Linked DNA regions of Styela clava. The protein of the gene in region 1 purifies or fractionates together with the protein of each later gene. This does not show direct contact. Links are inferred from orthologs where the notes say so. Each region holds a gene or a part of one and is shown in the gene's direction. Other genes may lie near its edges.

Region 1 (7,506 bases):
CTATGAAATAAAATCGGAATGGTCGTACAGGTATTTAGCTTTTGACGATTTTTGTACGATATGCCCTAGGTCCCACAGGACTCCTAATTTTATGCTAGGTTAAGAGTTCAATATCGATATATGTTATTTAGGAATATTAATTTTGAGTCATAGCGTCTACTCACTCCTTGAGTGGTGCTAAGACGCAACATTGTCACATTTTGGCAAAATGAGAGCGACGTAGTGCTGGTTCATTCCCTTGTTTCTAATCAACGAATGCAACCGAATATCAGCAAGAGTAAGCATGTATATATCAAGTTTTTATTGCAATAATTCTTTTTGTATGTCGCCACCTTGTATTCATATAGTTAGTGTGTCATTCAAGTTTTCCTAGCGAGAAAGTCAAGATATCTTTGTAGTAGATTGTTTCTTTTTTTTTTTTTTTTAGTTTCTTTGTTGTTACTTCGACGCCTACTTCTAAAGATAAGCCAACGGGGTATGTAAATGTACATATATTTCAAATTGGTTAATGCTTAGTTGTATCAGTTATCGTGTTGAGGGACATTTTTATGAACTTTGCCATACCTGTGTTTTCTGTCACTGAAGCTGCTGCGCATGTTAAGTAACGGAATCTTTAGATGCTACCTTTGTGTAATAGATTTATGCGAATACTTTGTTTATCGGATTGCCTTTTTTAATCGAAACTGCCCAAATCATTTGATAGATTGACCAGTCATGTCCTGTATTATATATATCACAAAGGTTTTTTCTCCCCAAGGAGCTGTTTCAAACCTCCCAAACATACTTTGATTGAATTTTGATTTCGTTTCACAAATGCTCTGGAATTTTTATTTCTTTTAGCGGTGTCGTGACTCACTTGTCCCCCTTTTCGCACATGTTGCTGTATTTGTTTCACTGTTCTGACTTAAGGTAGATAGTCTATATATTGTGGGGAGAATGGGTAAAGTATGTATATGAGAAATTTTCATATGTTCCCGGTTAAGATAGATAGAATGCCTTGGTACAAGGTTAGATTACTCATGTGAATCGAGATTCATACAATTGGGCCAAGTGCGTGACATGTGTGACAATTGTGGCAACTGAGGGACACGACATTTTGAGACAATCCTTTTCTTTAGTTTTATAGATGCTATCGCGAGTGTGGGTTCGTCCAGCATTGTCCAGGTTCTAAGTCGAAGTGCATCGTGTGAAATGTCGAGTTCGTTACTGATAGAGGCAGAAGAAAATCCCGGAAGTTCGCCAGATATAACTGTCACTGGTGAGTTGTGCAGGTTCAGAATTAGTCATTTTAAATATAAATAGTAAATGATTTTATGGAATAGATATCGTTACATAAGTGCAAAATTTTGTAATTTTCCCAAGGTCCGAGTTCTGGATGTAGCAGTGCTGGTAACGTGATAGCTGGAATTCTCGGTTTTCTGTTTTTTGTTGTGGTCGGAGCCTCAGGGTTTTATGTTGCAAAATCAAAGAAGTCTAAGGAAGATGGCGAAAAAGATGAAGAAGAGGAGGAGGAAAAAGAGGAAGGCGAAGAGGAAAAAGAAGATGAAGACAAAGAAACGCAAGAAAACGATGATACCAGTAGGAAACCAAAGAAAAAGAAACATAAAGATAAAGAGCAGGAAAGAAATAAAGAACAATCTGAAGATAAGAAAGAGAAAGATGAATCACATGGTTAGTGTTAAATAAGTTGGGTAGACAATGCCGAACCGGAAACGTCTCGATGCTTCTAAATAATTGTAGAATATTGTTAGATATTAGTAGCTGCCTCATAGGGCCTTGTTCGAAATGCGTTAATAACCGTCGTAAAAAATTGGAAGAAATGTTCGCTTAATTTTATTAAAATACAAACTGATACCAATTGAACAGTGCTCGTCAAACTGTGGGCCGCCGAGCATTTTCTAGTGAGCCTTCAGTAAATTTTGATTATGGGCAATGATACACGAAAAATTTCCATAAATCCAACATTGCATACATACCGTATATATTTAATTAAATTTTCCTTAACAAGTTTATTACGTGGTTGAATCTTAAGTTTCCAACGAAATCTTGACCGAGGCTAACAAGGCTGTCACGAACGAGGTGGTTGTTGGGCCTTGAAACGATTTTCATTTCACTATTTGGGCCGCGCTTAAGAACTTCGCCGACCACTGCAATAAAGCAAATGATTGCTCAGATTCTTATTCGGATTGAAATATTCCGTTTATTTCACCGACAGGAAAACCATAGAATTGATGCGTAGGTCCGACGTATATGAACGATTGGTTCACAAATAAGATACGGTAGCATTAAACTATAAGATACATCGTTGGCCGTGGCCAAGAGAGCGCACCGATTTGATTTGAAATACCACGAAGAGATCACGTGGACTTAGTAGTTTTGGGGTCAAAGAAATGAAATGAACCTCATTCCACTATCCAGCAAACACATTCATATATAACGAGTTGCGTATTATACACTATACTAATGAGCGCATAAGACAAAATTGAGCGCCTACATCAGGTCTTTACTCTTTGGTTGAAAAAAAAAAATAAACACTGTGAGCTATTATTAGTTATAGTCATACGGAGTTTTGCTATGTTAGGCAGAATAAATAGAACCGTGTTGAATTTAAAAATACTTCAAATTATTTTTACAGGTAAATCGCATCGCCACCATGGACATAAACGACATAGAAAAAGAAAGGAACCCGATAATGCTTGATATTTTCAGCAAAAAATATGTCAATGTATTTTCGATCACTCATATCTTTAATGGTGTTGTGACTGCCTGAATTGGCGTCAGCCATTAGCTTGAATCCGAACTGTGTTGGCTCGATAAAGGATATTTTTCGCTCATTTTTGAACTAATTTTTCAGCATACCTGCTAACTTTTGCTATCAATTGGTATTCCGTGGGACTTATTCTCATTCAATGCCTTTGCGTCACTGGATCCTTATGCATATAATGCAAGGATGCTATATCAAGAATGAAGATAACTATTCTAAGTCAGACTTGCTGCACACTGATGCAAATGTATTTACAGCTGAAATATGTATGTGTAAGTCTGACATCGGTCTGAAGAAACGTCACAGAAATATATTTGTGTCGGTGTTTATTTTTTAAAAAGCAATATTATAAGTAACATATGCCTAAAAAACACCATTTGTTGATATTATTATTTAAATACCGCTATTTATATATATTTATATGTGGGTTCAAAACTTTTTGGGGAGACAAATATGAAGACTAAATATGAGAAAATATTTGAAAAATATACATATAATTCGGTAATACCATTGGAAAACTCTTTTTTCAAATAAAAGCGTTGGTTGGAATTATCTCCAATATAAAGAGGTACAAATTTATTGCAACCTACGGTCTTTATTTGCACTATTTTCGGTTGTATTTAGACGGGGAAAAGTTCAGAGAGTATTACCAGATATCACGACAGTGAGACATATGGTGCATGTGATAATTTTCACGCATATGTCGCGCGATTATTTTTTTCAACCTGTTGTGCTAATTTATTGATTAGTTCTCAATTACACGCACGCGTTATAATTGTTACCCCGATATTTGGAAGATTATTGCTTAATATTATCACAAGTTCATCGCTGTTGGAAACTTCTCATCAAGGTAATTGTGAAGCATTTTCAAAATTCAACAAATTTATCTCCAATATTTGGCTTTTTTGATTGATTTTCAAGCTAGCTACATTATATTGACCCTTGACTAGCGGAAAATTTTGGTAGGCTACTGCGTGAAAATGAAGGCTACTGCGCTGAATGAAGGTCAACTGCACTGCTTTTATTGAGTTATAGTATAGATAAGGTGATTGTATTTCATAAAGTATAGCCAAGCGAATTGTATTCATAACAATACATCGTCGTTCTTAATTTCCATCATAAAATATTGAACCGTATGGATGATCGCATGCTCAGACAAATATCAGCTGGAATCGGAATTCGCGACATATCACACTGGGCGACAGCTATCAAACTGTTTTACAACCCTGTGAAGTACTTTTGTTTTGCACCGCAAGTTCCGAGTTCGCACATTACCTTCGCGTGTCGTGCACCTTCGAAGTTCCCAAATCAGACAATTTGTTAGCACCCACGCGACTGATAATCGCCAGTGTTTTTAAATGAACGCGTTCTCAAAAATCCAGGCACTTTGTTCCGAACAAGTTTATGGGAATAATGCATGATTGCCACCAGGTAAACTCATGTTAATAATAAATGAAGCACAACATTTGCTAACACCGGTTGTGCTTCATTTATTATCAACAAGTTTATGAGAATGTTGAGATAATGTCGGTAACTCCCGTTTCATAGAAAGGTCGGTTAGATCAAAAATACTTGAAAGATTTTTAGAAACTGACCAATGCCGGAGGGCTATCGACTTGATAAAGAAGGCGACGAAGAATTCAACCGCTAGAAATAAATTAATTGCTTGTCGTCATGCATCATTGATTATCTAGCTTTTGAACGTTTTCTTTTGTTTACAGTTCGCTTTATGAGCGTCGTCATCCACAATCTTTCGCCATCTGTTGGTTATGCTGTTGTAGGCGCTAGGTATTAGGGTTTTAGTCAAATTCTGTGATAGGTTAGTCAGTGTCTAATTGTTACCAAGAAAATATTCATCTACCAAGCTAAGGGGACCAAGTTCTGGAGTTGAAAAAAGGCACTTAGACATGGAATTTACTTGCAAACTTGATCATCAAAAGAATAGAAATGGAATAATGGATTTACCGAAAGATGTTCAAGTTATGATTCTACAAAAACTTCCTTATAAGGATCTTATTCAGCTGCTGAAAGTTTCGAAGTATTTTGAAAATCTCATCAAAAATGAAGCACCTGGTCTTCTACAAAATATCACATTACCGGATATTTTTTTGAATGCTGAAAATAGCAAAGCACTCGCTTGGCTTGCATCAAAAGGTAACCTTGAAGCCAGTATTAAACTTGGATTTGCACATTTATATTTTGATGGATTAGTTGATTCCGCCCGTGTTCGTCAACAAAACAGTTTAATAGCAGCTAAATATTTTTGTGAAATGGAGCAAAATAGCCGACTCAAATTGCCAATAACTTGGGTCTTCATTCGTCCACCGTGGTCTGCTGCTTCTGTTTGCCGAAAAGCTTTTGTTTTCAAACAATTATCAAAAGCAGTTGATGATGGTAATAATCATCCTAATTTGTTATATTGCATTGGGAAAGTATTGCAGTTATTTGATGATGATTTAGAGAAGCGTCAATCTGCAAAACAATGGTTTCAACGTGCAGCTGATGTCGGTCTTCCTAATGCAATGCATGAATTATGGTGCATGGAACTTGAAGATATTGAAGGTTTTTCTTCCATAGAAAGCTTCGTTTCATCAAGAAGTCCTGGACTTCGATTATCATTGATTCGAAAATTAAGGAAAATTGCCGCTGCTGGATATAAGCCTGCACAAATGCAGTTATGTCGATTATATGCAATGGGAAATTATGGGGGATTGCCAATGGAGGTTGCACTAGATTACACAAAAAATATAATTCAAAAATCTTCATTAAAGCAAATTAATCAGATACCAAAGTATCAAGAAAATGTAACCGGTAGTATGAGATACATCCTTGTTGACTGGTTAATTGAAGTAGCAACAATGAAAGATTTCGGCAGTGAAATGTTACATACAACTGTCAGATGTGTTGATAGATATTTGTTATTACGACAAGTATCAAGATCACGTCTTCAACTTTTAGGAATAGCTTGCATGGTAATCTGCACCAGATACATGGAAAGAGATGTCTTGACAATTCGAGAAGCAGTTTGGCTGACTGATTCAACGTATAAATATAACGAGCTCGTGCAAATGATTGAAGACGTTGTTGCAACGTTAAATGGAAATATTAAAGAAATGACAATGTATGATTATCTATCAATATTCTTAAATTCAAATACTCTTGACAGAAAAAGTCAGGATATTGCAAGATTCATTGCAGATGCTAGTTTACTTCATGTTGACATTGTGAGTCTCCCTCCTGGAATTTCTGCTGCTGCTGCAGTATTTCTTGCAAATTTTACTGCAAACCCCAGCAATCCATGGCCTTCAAAACTATTAAAACTATCTGGATATACTTTAGGAGAATTATTTCCAACCGCAGTTGAAATTCATGAGAAATGTTTGGATAAAGAACCACCGACTGATTTTAGAAACAGAAAACTTGACGCAGTAGAAGAACGATATAGTCAATGTCGGTATGGCCCAATCAAAAGAACGCAACTTGTCACACACGAACAACTTATTTCTTATATGCAAATTACTTGTGAATATGATTCACCGGAATGTATCAACACTCCATGTTGCAGTCATTCTGTAACTATTTCCTCAGAAGTAAAATTAAAAGAAGATCATATAGATTCAACTCCAGAATCTGAAAAATTGGACTATTTTGATTTAGTGATGTCTACAGAAGAAGATGAAATTGAATCTTCAGAAGAGTCCGATCTTGAGACAGACACTCCACCGACGTTATCATCAGCGTATTTGATGAGAACAGATACAAAAACAAGGAAAAGAATTACAGCTAATCGTCTTGCTGAATCGAAATCTGCAGAAAATTTGCCAGCAACCTCTAGTTCTAAAAGCAAAATCACTAAATTGTTACCCAAAAAGCGAAGTATGGATAAATCTAAGCCTTGCATGACAGTTAATGATAAAGAAAATAGGTTATCAGTACCCTGTGCCAATAAAATTTCACCATATAATGCAAATGAAGCTGTTTATAAAGAGAAATCTGCTAAAATAAATGGTATAAAAGAAAGAACTAATAATGTGAAATTGTCTAAATCAAGGAGTTCTAGATCACCTCGAATGAGAATGTAATTTCAATTGAAAGGTTTCTTGAAATTGTCCATTAAATATGAACTTCAATATGAATTGGCGTTTGTTTTTCTGTAATATCTGTATTTGAAGTGAATTATCATATTCATCAAACTGTCCAGAGTTATCGCGCAGTCAGACCAGAAATATAGCAATATGAAAGGATGTCTAAATATTAAATTCAATAGAATTAAAATCTCAATACACACAAATATGAATAGCCTATACATTTCTGTTTCTATGGACCTTTTTAATATTTGAATTATATCTAAACAACATGCCAATTGCCAATTTATATATTGCTATATTTTTAATGCATTTAATATGTTGGCGTGAGATTTGAGCCATTTTTTTGTGCTCATCATTTTGTACTTCCCGTTGTTTTATTCAACTTCTGTGTTATTTTTTTCTTCGAATGAAATTTTTCAATCTCAAAATGAAATGTTTTCTCCTTCATACCTATTATTATTGTTAGTTTCTTTTTTTTCTTCTTTCATTAAACAGTCATTCTTTACATTGTAGTGTCTTTTGTATGTAATGAATGTGCATTTGTTTGCCAATTATATCATAAGAACATTTATGATAGTTACTAAGCTTTCTTTTTGCAATGTATACGGTATGTTTTTTTGCAACATTGTTTATAATTGGTCCTTGAACTCTTGA
Region 2 (7,849 bases), on another chromosome or scaffold:
TGATATATTATGATATGACATAATAGGGGTGTGTATCTTGTTAATTTTGATAATACTTAGCAACTCTCACCATACATAAAGCAGAACAAGCAATTTTTAATATTTTATTCAGAGTTTTCCTGCAAAGAGGTTCAAAATACCAGAAACCTGGTTTTGTGAAGTATTCTCGATTTAATTTATTAATGGACCTCCCAGGACGCTATCATAAGCATGCTAACATATGAGTTCTAACTACAGAGCCCCAACACACAATTATAAAATGATTTTATATCAGATGGTTAATGTTCCCAGAGTAGTGAAAACTAGCAATTATCTTTTCATAATAAATTCTCAGTTGCAACTCAATCGCTAATCCCCATTCGTGAACAGATAATCCAGATTATTGTTTTCTTTCATTTCTGTAACTAGTATAAAGATAACATAGCTAGCTGCTTGTTCACAGATATTAAAACATTAAGAGTAAAAACTCGTCTCATTCAATCAGATGCTCTTTCATTTCACTACCACTCTTACTGTGTGCAATCACAACACTGTTTTAATTGGAAGAAATAATAATTATTTTGCTGCTTTATTGTTGAATATATTTTTCATACTTCATCATTAATACAAATCAGATAATTGGTACATCTGTGTGTCTTTATCTACTCAGTTGGAGATATGACCCTGATGCCTATATTGATTTTTCCAAAAGTTGGGAAATTGGCGCAATGAAAATTCTCTGCCTTAGACAAAAAAATAATGAGTAGTCAGTCAGTGGTTAGTTGTCAAGTGTGTTCCTAGCGTTTAGTTGTGCCAGCTTTCGAAAATTTAGGTCATGCGTTTAGGGCAGGGTCTTGTTTCAATTTTCTTCTGAAAAATAACACTAGGGCTTATTTTCGAGGGATGGCTTATATTTTAATTTATCAAAAACAAAATTACAAAGTGAAGAAATACGAGATTTTCAAAGATACAAATTCAAGAATCACTTTTTAAATTCAACCTAGGTCTTATTTTCAGGGAAACACGGTATTAGATTTCTTTAAGAGTTTTGTCCTCGATAATTAGCATTGGTTTTTCGCGTCTGTCTTCACCCAGGAATGTGATATTTTTAGTTTATTCTTACATTCTGGTTCATTTCTACCACGATGGAAAAATAATCTTCTGCTTACTGGTATCATTCACCATTTAAATCCGTACCTCTGCTACGATTTTTTTAGAACCCCCGGAGCCAGACAATGTATTTATCTATCTGATTTTTCAATCTTATCACTACTTGACAACGAGAGACCGAGCAAATGGCGTCTTAATTCATATTTCAGATGATTCCATATTACTGGCGTGCCGCCGTATCGGATACCCCGAAAAACAATTGAGAAACATGAATTCAAATGCCGGTTATGGATTAAAAATGGATGTGATAATCAAATGTATACAATGGCAGGTGCAAGGGGCCAGATTAGGGCTAGAGTGATAAGAAGTGAAAAGGGGGCATGGCGCGTTAATCGCTCCGTGAAAGCGTGATCGTTTAATCCGTTATCGTTATCCACGAAGTTCTTAATTATAATTTCCTTTTAAGATGTTTGCAGGGAAAATCGGTTAGGATGAGACGAATGAATGGGAATGGAATATAATCTTATTCTTCATAGCCTCAGTAGCTTCGCAGAGATCAGACCCCAAAGATTTATATTATATTGTCGCATCAATGTCATTGAAGATTTTCGCGCTAAGAAAAGAGGCAACGGCATTGGATTGAATATTCTATTTTAGACATGAAATGCTTCTAATTGAAGGAAATATGATTTTCAAACCGTGCCAATAACCGAAACACTGAGTATCTTTCAAGATTTTAAGATTGATGTATTTTATTGTCGAAGAAAACCTTTGGACGGCTAAAATTTCAGAAAAGCACGAAAATAACCCGTTTAATAATGATTTTTGTAAATCAACTTAATTTCTCGCAAAATCCTTTCAAAACGCTTTCATAAAGCTAACAAAGTGACTTGAACGTCAACGCAGACGACACGACGATGTAAATGAGAGAAGCAGCTGGGCAAGTTAATTATGATGTCATCGATCAGCTGATTTTGTCCCGCTTCTCGATGAAGCATGCGGCGGGAAAAACGAAACGAGAGCGGGAACAACTAACGCTCTCTCGTGTTTCTAAAGCTTTTTACTTTTTTTTTTAACTTTGCAATCATTAGTAGGTTTGTGATTTAGGCGTTAGCTCATCTTTTCTATCGCCGTATTTTGGTCTTAGAGCAGTGTTAGCATCTGATATAATTTTACTTCTGTTTGGGTTTTACTGATGTTTAAATTAGGATTCATATTTTTGATATAATGCTCTCTCAATTTTTATATTCGTCATTGCGTATACCAGTGCTATCATTACTGCATTATCTTCCGATCCTCTAATTGCAGAATTGGGAGTTTGTCACTTTCGCCTGTAGATTATGCATGTTACCGTGTCTTGTAACGTTTAACATATCTCGGTGTTTTGTAGCGTTTTCTATTCCCTGTTAATAATCTTCATTGACATTATTTATTATTGCAATCATTACTGTGTTAGTCTGTTGGTAAGGCTGTAAGGAGACACTTTCTGACTTTGGCCAGTTGGCGATTGCATTACTACGGTAGCCTAGATCAGTGATTCCCAAAGTGGGCGATATCGCCCCCCAGTGGGCGAAAACGATACACAGGGGGCGAAAAAGTCTAAGGGGGCGATAGGGGGGCGATTTCGCGAAACCTGTTTCATGTTCGGCGCACTTCATTCTGTACTCTGTGTGCATTGGCAGGCTTGAATCATGTGGGCGATATTCACACGCGAATGGATTTCTGGTCTCGTCTTCGCAGTAAGGTAAGGTAGTTTGCGTATCCCAGTGGTCGGCAAAATACGGCCGGAGTAAAATAATCTGGCCCTGGACGATTCACTGAATGGACCTTTCCCCGACCTTTGACTGCGGAAAATTCTTCCCATACTTTACCATTTTAAAAGTTTCGGGGCTTATTTTAAGAGTGGTTTCGCGAGTTGTTGCCTTTAAAATGGGGTATTTGTTTCAAACTATCATTCTAATACACACCATTCAACAATCTGTTTTTTAAAAGTACCGATAAAGAATTTTAGCCTAGTCTATCACAGCTATTTCTACACTAATTTTTGATTGCTGTATTTAAACTGAAACTCATGGAAAGGCAAAGTAATCATTGACTTATTTGTAAAAACTAACGAATATAGGCTAATTCAAAAATGCGAAAATGAGGTAGTGTTCACGACCACGCCTGAAAATCTGTCTGAGTGAGAGTGTCTGAGCGCCTGAGCGGATGCGAAAGGGGGAATTGTTCCCTTTTTTGCATCTTGCTGATTGGCCAATGTCACGAAGTAAACAAGGAAGTCTATGCCCGGAGAAAAATATCCAAACGGCGGTTGTGACGATAAAATTTTTTTATTTATAATATACGCTCGAGGAGTAAATTACTTTTTTTTACGTAACAGAATTTATCGTGAGACACGTTTAGACTAAATTATACTATATCCTAACAATCTAGTGAACAGCCACTCGTTTAACGAGCCTACAATGTAATTATAATTAGACAAATGGAAACACGCAGAAAAGTTGATGCCGAGTGCAGGGGTTCAATAGCGCAGTAAATATTCGAATATATTGCGAAGCAATAAGAAAATAAAATTCATATTCTAATCGAGAGATTCATCACTGCTTAATTTTTGTAAGAATGTAATTTCTTAGAGAGAAAATATTTATCAAAATTTCACAAATCATGCGAAAATATTCACTTCGATGTTTGGAAGTATATATTTGTGCAAATCATTATTTTCGAAAATGAACATTACAAAGAACAAGCAAAGAAGTGGGTTTGGTGGTGCCCATTTAGAAAATGTTTCTATCTTGGCGTCGTAAAGTTATCCAGCGTGATGCAGCAACGAGACAGTGTCACATTAAATATCATTGTAATATTTTTTTAATAAGACGACTGAGTTGAGTTCACGAATTGTCGCAGTTTTTGCGTGCTGTTCCGTTTTTAACTTCCAAAAAATATATGCGACCCGCAAAAGACTAGCAACCCTGAATTTTGTCCTGCGAGCGACATAAAATTTGCCGACCCCTGGGCCGTAGCCGATAGTCAGTCACGGCTTCTTCCACATCCGAGTCAATGAATCAAAAACAAATGGCTGGTTAATTGTGGAATGGTGATCGGTCTGGAGGCCGTGATAGGATGAGGAATCAGGGATGAATTTTTCCGAAATATTTTGGTGCAGGTCATCAGGCTGTACGAATGAATGAGATGTACGAAAATCATTATTATAAGTTTGGGAAAATTAACTTTGTTTTTATTATTTTAATGTGAAATGGGGTGAATTTAGAAAGTGAAATGCTATAAGGCAAGAGTACACGGCGGTTTTTGAGGTGGTAGAACCCTGGATTCTTTCATTTTCGATCTATTTTATGGTGAAAAAGGGGTTTTCAGCCGTGCTACTATTGCTATTAAAACAACGAAATCACCTTTCCATCAGTAAACGAGGTAATTTTAGATATAATAAATAACTCGCTGAAGAACACCAAGCTCATCAATTTCATTAAAAAACACCATAAACTATTATTTGTCTTCTTATTTGGTCTGTAATATATTCGTTTCCGACTTTATATTTTTTTGTAGTGCAGGGGGGCGATGAAGTTGCATATACTACTTTAGGGGGGCGATGGTCAAAAAAGTTTGGGAACCACTGGCCTAGATCATTCTGTCATTAGATACTGTAAAGACTGAAAGAGGTGGCAGTTTGGATTTGATTGACAGGTTGAACTGTAATTTTATTCCAGGTTTATTTTAGGACTAGTAAAATTGTTTTATTGTCAAAATTTTTATTCTTCAGTCTTTTTAGATTTTACTAAAGTTCAATTTTAAGTTCAAAATTTTGGGTTCATTTTATGAGTTATTATCTTGCACCAATTCTATATCAAAACACAACTGCACTATGGCTACGCAAGGTATCATACCATTTCCGTGTCGAAAACCAAGATCTTTGGCATCCAAGCTGAATTCTACCTCTCCGTATAAATCACCAAAAAATCAGGAGAATGTTAGAAGAACATTGATGTCTATTTCCAACATTCAAAATGACAATAATCCATGCATCCGATCCATAATGCCACAACCACGATCACCAAGAAAAAGATTGGGTTGGCTCTATTTCTGTATTTACTAGTTTTATTAATTTAGTGCTAAATATTGTTTGTAAAATCATTTGGTCATATAGTATTAACCTAGAATTTCTAAACTAGAAATTGAATCTCTAAATAATGAAATAAGCATAACACTATAAACACTGCGAAAGTAATGGAGAATTTTCCGTGTTTTATTGGTCCTGCTTGCCTGTTGAATAAAAACTTTGCATCTCAGCTATGTATTGTTATATTGTGTAAAGTTTCATAGTGTTATTTCAAAGATTTGTTGGTTTGAAGGTTCAAATCTAGAATATATTCAGTTTTGTATATCCTATTCAAATTATCAGACTGTTATTTCTGTAGTTATTCACACATGTGCTGATCAGTTGACTGTAAAATGAGTCAAGATGAACGTAGCTAAGTTGTCTCCAACCATAATTAGCTTGTGATTAATTTTTTTAGTTTGTCCCACTTTTACAGGCGATTCAACAAACACAACGGAAGGTTGGACAAATGATGATTTTTTGAATGAACTATTCAAACTCTCACCCTGCTCTCCAGTGAAACAAAGAAAAGAAATTGTTGATAAAACGCAACAAACATCGAAAACTCCGACCAAATCAGTTTCGAGATCTTGTGATTTTCAATCTCCCACAAGAGCGATTCTTTCTCCTATACGAGCATTATCACTGAATTCACCATGTAGAAAAACTCAGATCAACGACAAAAATGTGAAATCTAAAACGGCCAAAGTTTTGCAATTAAAACTTGCAAGAATAGAGGCACCTGGGGATGATCAGAAGTTAGCGCCTGATGAAACGCCGACCAAACCTACTCGAAATCGTAAAACTGTGTCAATCAGCGAGAAAAAAAGCAGAATGGCAAAAATTGATAACACTTATGCTACGTCAACAGTTTCGATTAGGAGGGTTACACGTTCAGCAAAAAAGTAAGGAATATAAGGCATTTGTATAGTTAATGATCTGTCAAAATATCCATCGTATATTGAAATGTATGGTTGAAGCAACAGTTTCTCTGAGAGACCAATTTCTTATTATTTAAGAATTAGCAAATTTCCATAAATGAGTTTAAATTTTGTCTTTTATTTCAGAATCCACAAATTGAAACTATTCGAAGAAGATGATTTTAAAGAAAATGAAGATCCGAATGAACTTTCACCTTCGCCTAAAAAGCGACAAAAGCCAGCTTCCGAGAGCAGTAAATACCAAAGAGTCTGCAGGACTTTGCTTCCACCTTCACCTGAAAAACAAAAAGCGAAACGAGCTTTGTCACCTGTGCCGTTGTCACCGAAAAAATTGACTGAACAGATCGTCGCGAAAGCTGTTTCACCAAAAACGAGTCGCAGTCTTGAAAATGCACTGGAAACTCCACCAAAGTTAGCAAGTCCCTCGCGCTCAAGACGAATGTTGGAAATGCATAGACCTGACGGTATATATATTATTTATTTAAATATTCCCTAATATTTTCGGTACCTTCATTCTTTCATACTTTTCTCGTTGTATTGACATGAATCAATCAGTCATTCAATTAGTATTTACTACTGTGCAATAACTCAGCTATAATAAGGTATGTAGCTCCTGGCCCTTTAGTGTTTGCCCGTAAGGAGGTTCAAAGATCTATCACCTTTTTTTCTAATTGAATATGCGAGACATTGCATTGAGCATGAACAAAGATAATGTACAAATTAAAAAACAAGGTCCACTCAATGTGCAATTTGTGTCAAGCTGTAAAGATACAAAATATTATATTTTTATTAAGAATCTTACTGCTTGTTGCAGACTTGTTGCGAGTGCAAATACAAAAACACCCCAGGAAAAAAATTTGGATAACTGCCTTTTCTTGATATATGAACCATAGAAATGAATCATTTTTTTAATAAGAAAGTTTCAATGTTACAAATTCATAATTAAAAAAGTATTTCTTCTTGAATTTTGAGTCTATTTTCTTATGTGTGTCTTCCTTTCAGGTCTTATTTACCAACACACAAAGCGTGCCTTACATTCATCAGTGCCAGATGTTTTAGTTGGTCGAGAAGAGGAAATCCAGAAAATCTCTCAATTCATATCATATGGTGTGACAAATCAGAAGTCTGGTAGTCTTTATATATCTGGTGCTCCCGGAACGGGGAAAAGTGCTTGCTTGATGAAAGTTCTTAACAATGAGAAGGTTGGCAGATGTATGTTTATTTGCCTCAAAATGTAACAGTATCTGTATAATAATCAAACAGTGTAAAAGACTGGATACAGATCAAGACCTTACTGGCCTAAGACACAGATGTGCGACATAACCCCTAAACAGATGGTATTTACATTCGTTCAATTTGTGATGGATGTTTGCTTTATTTTATTGCAATATTCATCCTAACCAGAATTGAATTTTTTGATTTGATACATTGTCTGATTGCTTTATCCATTTTTTATTAAAACTATAGTAATTGTACCGAAACTGGTCATTCAATTTCGAAGTAGAATTTTAATTTTTGCTGTATTGAGCATTGACTTATGATATGAGCAAATTTGTAATTAACTCAAAATTATATAATTTTCATTCTCTTATTCGATAATTACTGTCATGCCCTGATTTTTTAAAACTAGTTCACACTACACAGAGGGAGGAAGCTACATTTCTCCCTTTTCATTACAATTTCCTGTCTTTTGTTATTGTAATGAACT
Region 3 (7,305 bases), about 12 Mb from region 1:
AATTGCAAACAATATCTCCATCACAAACAGCTGGATTGAAAAAGGGAGAAAAAAGGAAGAGAAAGACTCGAAAAATATAATTTTTCATTAATGACTATTAAATATGTAGACCTTGATAGAGTCGGCCCTTGACACAATTCGTTAATATGCCTAAGCAATAAACTTATTTTAATTGCATCAAGACATATACTAGCTTTTTTTCTCAGATATGCATGGCTATATTAAAAATGTAGTAGATGACATAGCCATTTTAGTAGGGACATAGCGGAAATAGCCATTTTAGTAGGGACATAGCCATTTTAGTAGGAAAATATCGGAGTCGCAATTTTAGATGGGACATAGCCATTTTAGTACGGACATAGTCATTTTAGTAGGAAAATATTGGAGTCGCAATTTTAGATGGGACATAGCCATTTTAGTGGGACATAGCCGTTTTAGTAGGAACATAGCGGACATAGTCATTTTAGTAGGAACATAGCGGACATAGTCAGAAAATATCGGAGTCGCAATTTTAGATGGGACATAGCCATTTTAGTAGGGATATAGCGGACATAGCCATTTTAGTAGGGACATAGTCATTTTAGTAGGAAAATATCGGAGTCGCAGTTTCAGATGGGACATAGCCATTTTAGTAGGGACATAGCCATTTTAGTAGAGACATAGCCATTTTAGTAGGGACATAGTCATTTTATTAGAAAAATATCGGAGTCGCAATTTTAGATGGGACATAGCCATTTTAGTAGGGACATAGCGGACATAGTCATTTTAGTAGGGACATAGTCATTTTAGTAGGAAAATATCGGAGTCGCAATTTTAGATGGGACATAGCCATTTTAGTAGGAAAATATCGGAGTCGCAATTTTAGATGGGACATAGCCATTTTAGTAGGGACATAGCGGACATAGCCATTTTAGTAGGGACATAGTCATTTTAGTAGGAAAATATCGGAGTCGCAATTTTAGATGGGACATAGCCATTTTAGTAGGGACATAGCCATTTTAGTAGGGACATAGCGGACATAGTCATTTTAGTAGGAAAATATCGGAGTCGCAATTTTAGATGGGACATAGCCATTTTAGTAGGGAAATAGCGGACATAGTCATTTTAGTAGGAAAATATCGGAGTCGCAATTTTAGATGGGACATAGCCATTTTAGTAGGGACATAGCGGACATAGTCATTTTAGTAGGGACATAGTCATTTTAGTAGGAAAATATCGGAGTCGCAATTTTAGATGGGACATAGCCATTTTAGTAGGGATATAGCGGACATAGCCATTTTAGTAAGGACATAGCGGACATAGTCATTTTAGTAGGAAAATATCGGAGTCGCAATTTTAGATGGGACATAGCCATTTTAGTAGGGACATAGCCGTTTTAGTGGGAAAATATCGGAGTCGCAATTTTAGATGGGACATAGCCATTTTAGTAGGGACATAGCCGTTTTAGTAGGAACATAGCGGACATAGTCATTTTAGTAGGAAAATATCGGAGTCGCAATTTTAGATGGGACATAGCCATTTTAGTAGGGATATAGCGGACATAGCCATTTTAGTAGGGACATAGTCATTTTAGTAGGGACATAGCGGACATAGTCATTTTAGTAGGAAAATATCGGAGTCGCAATTTTAGATGGGACATAGCCATTTTAGTAGGGACATAGCCATTTTAGTAGGGACATAGCGGACATAGTCATTTTAGTAGGAAAATATCGGAGTCGCAATTCTAGATGGGACATAGCCATTTTAGTAGGGACATAGCCATTTTAGTAGGGACATAGCGGACATATGGGACATAGCCATTTTATAACTACCCGGTACCGGTACCGTATACAAATTTTGCAGAGTTTTTCGAATATCTTCAGTCGTTTTTGATATCATAGATTTCAAATGTTTAAGCCAGTTTATATATAATCTGAATTAATTTTAGCAACACCGCACGGAAAATATCACAATTCTCATGATCATTAGAGCGTAACCATTGCACTAACCAATCATTCATCCGCGCGCTGTGCTTTGAATGCTTGTGGCTTTGTTGATATTTGGCTTTGGGGGTCGGGAGGTTTTGCTGGTTCCGTTAATTCTGCCATTGCAGCATTAGGATAGGATAGGATTTACATATTTATCCCGGGGGAGAGGAAAGCCGATAAGACGGCTTATCCATATGGCGAACCACGGCCTCTCGTCCGGTTACCATTCCAAGTCGGGTATGGGATTAGATTTACTGTATTGTTTGTTTTCGGAAGCATGGACTTGGTGGTGGAGGAAGCCGTAACCGACCAGCGGTTACGTGAACCACCCAACGACGGCGAGGAGTCCAGCAATCCTCTCGCACATAACCATCTCTGTCTGGGATTCGAACCTGCGAACCCACGCAGAGTAGTTAGAGGTGCGGTGGCGATCGTATTCCTAACGCTTAGCCCGTTGAGCCACACCGCCGCGCATTGCAAATGCAACACGAATTTTACTACATAACTTGAGCAATTGGAACACAGATTTATCATGGAATGTAAAGATAAATAGGAATGTAACTTGAATCCTATCAATGTCAGCATTTTGCATCTGATACCGTCAGACCGTACGGGCGTACGGTACAGCCGTAGACTAGTGCTGTAGTGATCCCGGTAAGTTAGATTGGTTAATAATATTAACTACAGAACTATATTAATAATACTGTAGTATAGGGCAGTAGGGGTGGATTTGCATATTAAAATAGAGTAAAAGCAATAACACGGCTCAATCATATGATATGGTGAAACACGGCCTGACGGCCTCTCATCTCCGATTTCAGGATTACCAATCCTGCAATCCATGTCCGGTACCAGTAGGTAGGTAGCCTAGTTAGGGTTTGCTTTTAAATGGGAAATTTTGACTATATTGGATAAAATGAATTATAAGAACATTAACAACTACGGTATGTTAATGCAGTAATGCCCATTCAAAAGTAAAAATGTGCGGAGTCATTTAAACACAAAACTCCAAATACATAAAAACCAAAGTGCATGAGAATAGTCACCACATTTAAAGACATCAATTTTAGTAATGAATAGAAACCCCGGGTCTCGTGTAGTTTCATACCTAACGTACTTCTAGTGGGCGTAGCATTAGCATATTATTTTATTATGTCACTGTGACATCGTAGTGACATAATTTTTGGATGGCGTAATCAGGTGGGGGTTAGGATTAACATATGCAAAAATTGTTATGATACGCTCACTAGAAGTACTTTAGGTACGAAACTACACTAGACCCCAAACCCCCCTATACGAGACAGTACGGACCTTCATATCGGCAAACCGACACTAGAAATAAACTAAAAGGAAGCGCAATCTAAAAACATCACCATTTAGTACGGCTCCTCATACAGCTCCTCATTGTCTCATTTCAGAGAATCCCATTTTGGCGATGAACAAACACTTCTTCTTTAAGTTGCACAAAAAACTACAAAGAAGTGCAATCTAAAAACATCATCATTGAATTCCTCAGGAAAAAATAATCCAAGTCACAAACGGAAAAATATTCTACCGTGGCATTCGTGAATTTAAAGCAAAAAGCGGCAATTTTGGTCACATGACTGCTGCAATTAATTTATATCATTATTGAGACAAACATGATGCGATATGACGTATCTGCTGTTGTACAGACACCCATCATTTGTGAGACACATGGAGTGTCTATTTTATCATTGAAGCAAATGACAGGACATTCTTGGAATTTAGAAAGTGTGCTGTACTGCCATTGAATTCCTTAGAAAAAATAATCCGATTCACTGAAGAACAGAAGGATAAATTATTTTACTGTTGCATTTGAGAGTTTTAAGCAAATAACCCCAATTTTATCGTGTGATGGGCCATGCACGCTATGATTGACTTAAATTATTATTGAGACAAGCATGGCGCGATCTAACGCATATGCTGTCACGCCAGACTCCGTCGTTTCAGAGACAAATAGAGTGTTATTTAACCAAATGTCAGTGTATTGCGGCCCCATTATAACAGAGAATAGTTTAGTGTACAAGACCTTGTTTGCCTATGTCACAATTGTTTGACTCGACAGAACACAGAGGTCTGATATTGATCGCCAATTTATTCAAAAAACTTGCAAAATAGGTTATGATAAGTTTTGCTTTGGCAAAAAAATTACCAACATTGGCTATTCAGGAGTATACTACAGGAAATGGATCTGTATAAAAAAAGTCTAAACTTAAATTTGCATGTATGAGAGCGAATAAACACTATTGTGTTTCATTTATTTAAACCACAGTTGGATTATTATACAAAAGAAATAGAATCAATATAATGTTTCTGTAAGAAATTTATTCACTTGTTTTTAGCTTACTTATTGTAGGCATATTTTTGAGTTTATTAAACACTGTCGTTTTTGGATTCTGGACGATTTATCAATCATCCTTCAAAGTCCAGTAGTCATGTTGTCCTCAGATTTAAAGTCAATGAAAAGAGCTGAATTACAGAAGCTGGCTAAAAAACATGGAATAAAAGCAAATTTGAAGGTAATTTGTTTATTCTTATCGCTTGTTATCATAATCCAAATGATAATTTATTTTATAGTATCTGTGATAAGCCCTTAAAATGAAAAACAATCAAAATTTATTCATGATAATTGGTGATTTCAATTTTAGATTATATTTTTATACCAATAATTACTTTTTTTTTATTTTGCAGACTGATGGAATTATTGCAGCGTTGCAGTCAGTATTCGATGCAGAAAAAGAAAATGCAAAAACACCTGATACTTCACTGGTAGCACAATCAAAAACACCAGTTAATGTGGTATAACATTATGACAAAGTTAATTTGAGTTCGTTTTCGTGTCATGTTCAATGTATTTCTTTTTAGCATTAGCCTTTATGGTCTTAATGACATTATCAAATTGTGTTTATATTAATAATAGGATGGGACTGATATTTATCTTGCATTCTCTGCAGGATTATTTGCAAAATATAAAGATTTATAAGATATTTCCATCTCTCTAATATATCTTAATGAAGTGCATTACTGTATTACCATAACCTATGAGTATTGTTGTGTTATATTTTATTATTTTTCTATTTTAGTTTCCAACTCCGCCATTAGACGAAGCAGAAGATTTGTTCTCAGTCAAACCACCATGGAATAATAGCGACTTAATGTCTTTTGTGAGAACAGTTTATTATATTTTTCTTTCATCAGAAAAACACGATATTGTGTAATTATTAATCATAATTTGGTTCTATTTTTCTAGGTTATCTAGGTTTTTATATTTAATTTTCGAATCAAATGCAACTGCAACTATACAGTCTATGTGTCTTCACAGGACTCTACCCCAGAACAAGATAGCAAGAATGACAAATCTTTGGAAGCAATTCCTGAAACTGGAACAAGAACAAGAAGTTCATCTGGGAAGAGGGTGAGATTACTTGTTTGTATTATTTTCTTTTTCAATCACAGTTGTACCCTTAAATGCCAACTATCCAATAAACTTTTCCAAGGATGTCAAAAACGAATCAAATATTCAGATCATTCCGAATGTTTTGGCAAGGAACTGTGCTGTATGACTATTCATCAGTAAACAAGGGATATTCATATAGTCTTTTATAGAAATTAGGGCGCTCCAGAAGTGTGTGTACCAACATGGGGGTAACTAATTTTGTTCGCCTACTTTACATCAAGTTGTGTAAAGAGACGGAAGCTAGGCTATGGGCACGGGCAATATTCACTTTACTAACACAGACAGTCTCCGAACTTGTAATAGAACCAAAATAACGAAAAACTGAATAAAATTATTGTAACTTAACTGGTACACACACTACGGGTGTGTCGAAATTAGAGCTATCTTTTGAAATTTTAGACTGTTTTTGCATAATTTACCATATTTTTACAAGTTTTTAAGATTGAAATTTATCGGAGAAGAAAGATCTTGATTGCCTGGAAGGGGACATTTTTATTCCAAACCTCATTTTTCAAATTTCAGTTTACTTTGTGTAATAAATAACCAATATAAAATTAGAATAACAGCTAATATTTTGCTCTCTCTGAATATGATTTTGGAGCTTCCAAGATATATTTTATGTATTCTTTTTGTCCTAGACCCCCAAAATAGCTAATGAATCGAAAGATTTTGCAACAAAGACATACAGCGTTGAAAGGGTTAAAACAAAATCAAGAACCGGTCGATCAAACAAAGTTGCTCCCACTTCTGGCAAGAAAACAGCTAAAGTTTTGAAGCGTCGATCTTCAAATGCAGTTGAAACCATACAGGTTAGGTCGTTTTCTGGAACAAGGTATTGACACTTGACAGTCATCGACCTATCATGCAATTGTTTATGAAGTGTTTTACATTTGTTAACCAGCAAGTATCAGGTTTTGCATTACCTACTACTAAATTTATTACCCATCAATGTGTTATTTTGAAAATAGGATGGGAATAAGATATGCTGACTTGTCATATGATATAATTATAAACACACTTTTTATTAAAAAAAATTTAATTAGAACTAATTTTTGCAATAAAAATGTATTCGAAATTTCAATGTTTCCCCGTTTGTTTCAAAACCTGTGGAATACTAAATATGACGTTAGAGTATTTTATCGAATATAGTTCTTTTTATTGACTGATGTACATTCTAGTTTTAAACCATTTTATATATAATCCAAAAGGCTAAAAAACCGAGGAAGAGTGGATCAAATACTGACCAAGAATCTGTAGATGAAAAAAGTGAAGCAATCGACATTGATCTTCAGAATGAAATTATGAATGAAATAAGAAAAAAAATTGATGCAACAGGTATGCATGAGCCTTCCTCTCACATCTCGACTCATTCCACATGTGCATAACAAGGTGTTATATTATATGCATATAGTAGCCTACTATGGAAAAAGGCCATTAAAATTTTATATGGCTCTTTGCTGTTTTTTATAACATATTATCCCCATTATTTTGAGAACTTCCATGCCGCACCGACACAAAGTTCTGTTTTTTTGTTCAATTAACCAGATGAAAAAAGTAAATATGGTGGCAGTGATTCTTTTGCAAGTAGAATTCCAAGATTTACTGCATCAGGTGTTACTATCGGAACAAGCAAGCCTATTACACCTGGAAATAAAGACTGGAATAAACTACACAATAAGTAGGTGTCATATCTGAATTTATATATATTGTACGCAATCTAATATCAATTCTTGAATTTAAAATTCTATTTTAGAAAATTCGATAAACTGGAATCCATTGATGATTATGAGCGAAGAAAAAAAGTGCGAGCAGAAAGATTACTCGGTTCCAACAAGAAAAACAATGCAAGTCTGAGCAAAC
Region 4 (7,011 bases), on another chromosome or scaffold:
TTTTGAGGAAATATCTGAAAGAAAAAGTTTCTGTCATTGAAAAAAAAAAATGATAATATTATATGATTACTTATTAATGGTTGCAGTGATGTCCCTACTAGAGATGTACCGATGTATCGGGTATCGGAATCGACAATATCTGCCAATTTTTCGGTATCGGCTAAATTTAGACCGATATTTCCGATATATATTCAGCTTCTCCATATTATCCAAGGTGTTTTAAAAAAATAGGTTAGAATACTGATGTTTAAATTATTTTTTGCTTGGATAGATCGTGAACTATGAGCCATGTACGTCCCCCCCGGATTTTCCGATGTGTAAAATATAAAATACAACGTTATATTGGCACAAAATCCCGCGCACGTAACTCAATGTATCAGTTTCATATACGATAAGCAGGCTAAACATTTATGCATTTTACCACCAACAGTATAGCGAAATTCTATTAGTTTTCTAATTGGACACCAAGATTACTAGTGCCAGTGCTCAATGCTTTGAATCAATCAACGCATTTGGATCCCAAACATCAATTTCTATATATATATATATATATATATGATATTTCTCTTATTTGATCCAAAATTATGTGCACTATTAATGATGCTCGAAGACTATTGTTTTAACTCGTCTGCCCTACACACTTAAGTAATAATTACATAGAATCGGAATATCGGTATCGGCAATATCGGCCTTTCCAAATATCGACGCATTGATATCGGTATCGGCGTTTTTAGCTGATATCGGATCGGTATCGACGACAAAAATGGTATCGGTACATCTCGAGTCCCTGCATCCCTCCAACAGGTGGTGCACAAGGGTTGCTCCGCCATCAAAGTCCACAAATTTGCAACAAATAACTGTGTTGAAAGGGGTATGAAAAGTAAAACTGAGAGTGTGTCAATAACATACATACAACATCACTCCACAAAATGATGCCATGGTGAGTTTTTGATGTACCATTATGTCCCAAACTTTTATTTATGTCGGCATTTTTGCAATTTCTTAGGTGTATTCTGTGCAGAAGTACAGAAGATGTTAGCAGACATCCTGAACGGGCATATCAAGCGAATATACCAATGAATCAATACGGAAGACGAAACGACGCTAAGGCGCATCACAAAGCAGGAATGCTACAGAAAAATGGCAGTCCAGAGTCTCGTGCAAGTGGAGAAGGATACAAAGAGCATTGGTCACCTGGTAGTGCAGCGACAGAAGAAAAGTATTCTCGCTATGACGTCACCCTTAGGAAATGCGTCAGAAGATACCTAAAAGCGAATGGAGTTCATCCAGATGATCAACAAACAGCAAATATATGAGGCGGTACAACCATTCTATTTGCGCCTATTTCCACTAATCATGTACTTTTGAAGGTCATGATGATGAGACTGAATACACATCACGGTGGGAGTCGGGACATGTTGACACCACAGCTTTCAACAAAGGAGTAAAGCAAATTTGCGAGACGAAGCGTTTGACCGCCCGTCACGTACAAGCACTAAAAGAAAAGTAACGGGCAAAAAGATAAATTTCGAACGAAAAGAGTATATAAATATATTGGCTCTAATCTTAGTCCTAATTCCAAAATGGAATTTATTCTCACTGGACAGCTTATTTACTATATTAGGAATTCCATGTTTTCCTATTATCAGATTTCCAGTGTATAATAATATTTTTGTATTTCGTTAGCATTTGTAAAAATGAACTTATCTGTAATTGATTTCTATCTTTGTTGCACTGTTTTTTTTCACTTCTTGTCATATAAATGAGTGGAGTATATTTATAAATAAATTGGGTTTATTAATTTTTGGGGTACTCCCGAAGTATGTGAACCAAGATGGCGGACACCGGAACGTAGTATGTGAACCAGGCCATAATTTTATTCCAATTTTCCTTATTTTAGTTCTATTACGAGTTTGGGGACTAGCCAAGTGACTTCCGTAGTATTTGTACCGGAAATTATGGTCTAACCCTAACCTGGTACACATACGACGTACCGGTGTCCGCCATCTTGCTTCACATGCTACGGGAGTACCGATTTATACTTGAGTATATTGCCTTTCTCCCATTTTCTTTGTAGCTACGAGCTATTGTCAAATACACCAGTCAACAAATGAAATTTTAAGTCTTGCCATCTCCAAGGTCCGTTGCATACTCTAAACATGGCCTGTTTCTGAAAAATGTTAACATTTTCGTGGGATTGCAATCTAGCTAAAAGCTATTGGTTTGCTTTATTATAACTTACAAGCCTATTTTTACTAAATGTTTTCCTTGTCCACAGTAGCCACATATTATGTATACAAAATAAACAATCAATGACGGTAAAACCTTATGTAGCAGACCCTGCGTTGCTTTCATAATTTTGCACTTTTTGACTGAGATCAGAACGATCGTTTTGTCAACAAATTTTCTGCGCTATTCAACGTCTCAGGATTTACTTTGCCATCTTATACTGTATCTTTGTTTCCTTGATATTTTATGGGTTCTGTCGCCTATGTTAACCAGCATGATTTTGTTGTTTTTCTTTGAGATTGCACTTTTAATAAAAATATCTACTGAAGTTTCATATTGTCGAGATTACGTCCAAGAAAACATACATTAGTTGTGTTGTAGAAATGTGTTTCCAATGGTAGTTGTTGATGAAAAAAAGGCTAGGTTTTAGGTTTTGCGAATGTAGGATAATGAATATCACGTAAATAATGACCAAACTATCTTGGACGGCACGAGAAGGTTTTTTTGTTTTATCTTACATTTCATTTCATGACGTATGATCGTTGACCCTATCAAAAAACAACCATTTTCAGTATTAGAATTATCCTACCAATGCTGAAAGTGGTTGGGTAACGGTATTAGCAGAGAGTGTTTGTAAAAAGTTCGTCAACCTTATGCGCTTTTTCGGGAACTATGGTTACTGACGCCAGTGGATGGACTAACCTGGCAATCTCCTGCTCCCAAATTTCCGCTGTAATTCTACTTTCTTCTGAATCCACAAAAAAATTGCGATTGCATACCAAGCAAGGTATACAAAAAAAGTTGTCGATGTTGTGATGTCGTTGTTGGTAATGTTAAAAATGCATTTGGCAGCTGTTGCACAAAAAGTTAAGACGACTGACAGTAATGGTTGACAAGTAATGGTCACTTAGAATGAAGTTTGAATGATATAAACTGTTGTTGTTGTACCAAATATGAATATTTCGAATGTATCTGTTCAAGTCTTTTAATCAATGTCAAGAAATTTTAAAATGATTTATCATATTTTAAACACCTTCCTATTTTCTATGCGTATATTACGCCGGTAAAAATAAAAGCGGTCAGTTAGCAAGTCACAATTACAAATATGGTCAAAATAATTTTGATAGCAATCATTGAGATTATTTATAGTAGTAGCCAGAAGGTAGCGTCCACTGAGTAAAAACCTACGGTATATTTCTCAATGGACCTTTCCCCGACCTTTGACCCCCAAAAAATTCTTCTTATACTTTACCATTGCAAAATTTCCAGGCTATTTTAAGAGTACTTTTGTGAGTTGGCGCCTGTAAAATGAGGTATGTGTTTTGAACCATCATTATGATTGATCGCATACAACAATCTGTTTTTTAAAAGTACAGGTAAATAATTTTAGCCTAGTCTATCACAGCTATTTCCACACTGATTTTTAATTACTGCAATTAAAAAATTAAAACTTCTAGGAAAAGAGAGTGATCATTGAAATATCTGATTTATATTTAAGTTTCCGAAACACAACTGAAAACTAACGAATAGAGTTCAAAAACGCGAAAACGAGGTAATGTTTACGACCACGCTTGGAAATCGGTCTGAGTGAGAAAGGGGTCTGAGCGGATGCGAAAAGGGAGCATTGTTACGTCACTTTTTGCATTTTGCTGATTGGCCAATGTCACGAAGTAAACAAGGAATACGATGCTCGGGGAAAGGTTCCATCCGATCACCCAAAAAATTAGCAGGTAATAGGAATGCTCAATACTGACACCACATGGCGCCGACGAGTTTTTCGTCTCTTTTCAGTGGAATTGTTGAAATTGAGACTCTTCAGAGACAGAGAAACGCGAGTTCTGGAATTAGTGAAAGTGTACTGTTTTGCCTTAAGAATCTCGCAGTGTTCGAGGCCGCGAAATACTTAACAAGCATGTCTGTCTCACAAAGGAATTACAACATAAAGCAGGAAATATATATACGAATAGCTGATGACGAAAATGAGGAGGCTATAGAAATTCCAGGAGAATCAGATGGCACCATGCTATTGTCCAGCGTTACAGGTAAAAGATAAAAATACCCGTAATGCCGTTATTTAAAAAGATAAAGCAGTAGCTACTGGATAAATATTTTGTTAAGTACGGTACTCAATTCAGTAGGAAATCACTGACCGATAAATGGGCACAAACGCTTGCAGCGTTCGCTTTAAACTTTTCTCTAGGTTTTGCTCATTTTCCCGATCTTTTCGTTGCCCTTGTCTTTGTTTTTTATTTTGTGTTCAGTATTTTCATGTTGTAGACGGAAGATGAAAAAAAATAAAAACATATAATATGTGCACAAAGTGCTGAAGTGACTAACTTTTAAGCCTGTCAGCCTTAATTCTGTAATTACTCAATTACATTAATGAAATCACGGTACCGGTACGGTACCGTACAGGTAACACTAAACTCAACTCGGGTCTCGTGTAGTTTTGTGCCTAATCTAGTCTACTTCTGTACTTCTAGTGGGTGTATCATAATAATTTTTTCACATGTCAATCCTAACTCCCATCTGACTACACCATCCAAAACCATCGATACAACAGTGTTTTCCAAATTTGTCTCTTTTTATTTAACTTGCTGTTTTTCTCTATTTTTCAGCCCAATTTGCTGGGGCATGCGGTCTCAAGTATAGAAATGCTGACACTCAAACAATGAGGGGAGTGCGATTGGTTGAAGGTACATTTCATCCACCAGATGGTTCGTGGGGATCACAACTTTATATTGTTGTTTATCCAAAAGGTAAATTAATAGAAAAGGAATTCAGTATTCTGTGTAGTACCAAGACTGATAACTAACTTGTGCTATAAATTTTTCTGTTAAAATTACTACTTACTGAATCATGCATTGAACTGCTAGCCATGGGGTTCAAGAAGATAATTAATATTTTCATTGCTTACCTTTTTTTGGTCCTATTTGACAGCCCGTAGCATGTATATTGTCACTAGAACATTGCTAGAAATACAATTATGCAAGCCATTTAATATGATATAGGAAAAGTTGGTAGTATACTGTTTTATGTTATATTGATATAGTTTCAATTTTCAGTTGTTTGCATGTTCAATCAATACTATACTATTCTGGTTGGCAAGACCTGATTTATTGCACAAAATACACCCCTTTGCTCTTATTTCAATTACCAATGCCATGTTGGTTTCACTTTTTAGACATCTTGTTCAATTTTCCAATACACAATAATTTTTGTGAAAATTTCCTTCAATTTGGCAGATAATAAACGAAAGATGGATGACACTGAAAGTCAAGGAATCCGCAGTAAAAGGCCGGCACAAAAATGCTCGGACCTAATTGTTATGGGATTACCTTGGGAAACATCTGTCAACGATTTGAAACAATATTTTGGACAATTTGGTGAATTAGTTTTGGCACAAGTGGGTATTTTTTCAGTAAAATTTTTGTTTTGAGTGTATGATGTGCTATGTACATATATTAGTATATTTCATATAGGTACTGCTGATGCTTGTATATTTCTATTTGTATGATGTTTTTGTACTGCAGATTATCTGTTTATATTTTGCGATTGATTATTTTGTTTCGGTATATGAGTGCTATTATGAGTCCTAATGAAATATTTGCAGTATTTTTTTTCAGAATATTTTTTTACAGAAAATGTGTGTCTTTTTTGTTTTGTAACTAGGATATAGTTGCATTTCTGAAGTATTTTTAACATTTTGGTAAATTGCTTTATTCTAACTGGGCATTGTGTGATGAAGACATTGTTTGTAGGTTAGTTTGTATGGAAGAGTCAGAAATATGTTTTTGCTGGATTGATATAACAGTATATGAGGCAATTTGATTTGCTAAATTGACTGAAGATATGATTAGAGTTGAACATTATTTGAATCGGTTCAGCAGAAAATGTTGTATCCCCGTCATCTTTTTTATTTTATTTGGCCACACAAAGGTCGAGGTGGATTCCTCAGTTTTTGTCTTGAAGCTATAGTTTTATGATGTAATTTGGACATATGACTCTTTTCTTTTTTGTGAGATATTGATGAAACATTTTTCTCATTGTGTGTGAACTTTCAGCAAAATGTCTGAGTGATGGATTTCATGTTTTCAGTAATTTATGTGTTTGGAGGACCCATCACAATAAAAAGTCACATACATTCATATATCTTCCAAGTTCCGAATATTCAAGAAAATATTCGTTTGTATCTGAAATCATCACGAAAATGCCCATCCCTGGATATGATTGATCATCACAAGACTTTTTCAGCATTCATGTTGTGATAACAAACAATGAAATTTATGAGTAAAATATAGAACGGATGCCAGTTAGTGTAGCCTATATCTGAAGCAACCAGAAGTGTGCCCTGTATGATGATCATTCAAAAGTTGTTTGTAGAAATTTGAGCCATCTTTCTCATAACAAAATTTTCATTCTCCAACTTGAGAGTTTTATGGGATTGCCTGGGATCTTGACTGCACCTGATTTTTTTGAATAGCATTTATCATAGAATACCAAAGCCTATTTTCACATCAAATTTTGGGTGTATGTCTGGGGTATCACATGATAAATGGTATCGATTGTCCTGGGATTGCTGTGTTGTAAAATATGAAGTGAGATGTCAGTTATACAATTGATTGAAGAGTTGTTTGGACTTGATCATTGTAGTTGTTATCGACTGAAGCTTATTGAATGTCTGGTGAAATGATCAACAATCAGATCATTATGAATGAGGTATGGTGTATAATTTTTTGTGATTCAGTTATATTTTGATAATTATGTCAATAAAACCTTAAT

What was found.
Region 2: the proteins of cyclin-F-like (region 1) and cell division control protein 6 homolog purify together in Homo sapiens (affinity purification with western blotting; 4 studies listed by BioGRID and IntAct, with this or other methods). This does not show direct contact. The link is inferred for Styela clava from reciprocal best matches to the Homo sapiens genes CCNF and CDC6.
Region 3: the proteins of cyclin-F-like (region 1) and nucleolar and spindle-associated protein 1-B-like purify together in Homo sapiens (affinity purification with mass spectrometry; 3 studies listed by BioGRID, with this or other methods). This does not show direct contact. The link is inferred for Styela clava from reciprocal best matches to the Homo sapiens genes CCNF and NUSAP1.
Region 4: the proteins of cyclin-F-like (region 1) and TAR DNA-binding protein 43-like purify together in Homo sapiens (affinity purification with western blotting; 3 studies listed by BioGRID, with this or other methods). This does not show direct contact. The link is inferred for Styela clava from reciprocal best matches to the Homo sapiens genes CCNF and TARDBP.

The regions. Positions count from the first base shown.
Region 1 is NC_135251.1:14,285,109-14,292,614, reverse strand, and holds the start of cyclin-F-like, read left to right. Parts: upstream 1-4,481; 5' UTR 4,482-4,671; coding exon 4,672-6,846; 3' UTR 6,847-7,506. Other genes in the region: uncharacterized protein LOC120335464, read left to right, coding at 1-30, 428-475, 1,119-1,258, 1,363-1,671, 2,636-2,700. UniProt on the Homo sapiens protein: Substrate recognition component of a SCF (SKP1-CUL1-F-box protein) E3 ubiquitin-protein ligase complex which mediates the ubiquitination and subsequent proteasomal degradation of target proteins.
Region 2 is NC_135250.1:4,966,354-4,974,202, reverse strand, and holds the start of cell division control protein 6 homolog, read left to right. Parts: upstream 1-4,849; 5' UTR 4,850-4,966; coding exon 4,967-5,171; intron 5,172-5,636; coding exon 5,637-6,105; intron 6,106-6,267; coding exon 6,268-6,605; intron 6,606-7,143; coding exon 7,144-7,343; intron 7,344-7,849. UniProt on the Homo sapiens protein: Involved in the initiation of DNA replication. Also participates in checkpoint controls that ensure DNA replication is completed before mitosis is initiated.
Region 3 is NC_135251.1:26,346,257-26,353,561, forward strand, and holds the start of nucleolar and spindle-associated protein 1-B-like, read left to right. Parts: upstream 1-4,301; 5' UTR 4,302-4,423; coding exon 4,424-4,507; intron 4,508-4,679; coding exon 4,680-4,787; intron 4,788-5,071; coding exon 5,072-5,152; intron 5,153-5,310; coding exon 5,311-5,403; intron 5,404-6,083; coding exon 6,084-6,254; intron 6,255-6,653; coding exon 6,654-6,780; intron 6,781-6,990; coding exon 6,991-7,123; intron 7,124-7,198; coding exon 7,199-7,305. UniProt on the Homo sapiens protein: Microtubule-associated protein with the capacity to bundle and stabilize microtubules. May associate with chromosomes and promote the organization of mitotic spindle microtubules around them.
Region 4 is NC_135253.1:15,480,568-15,487,578, reverse strand, and holds the start of TAR DNA-binding protein 43-like, read left to right. Parts: upstream 1-4,009; 5' UTR 4,010-4,141; coding exon 4,142-4,271; intron 4,272-4,847; coding exon 4,848-4,988; intron 4,989-5,474; coding exon 5,475-5,635; intron 5,636-7,011. Other genes in the region: short transient receptor potential channel 5-like, read left to right, coding at 1,007-1,316. UniProt on the Homo sapiens protein: RNA-binding protein that is involved in various steps of RNA biogenesis and processing.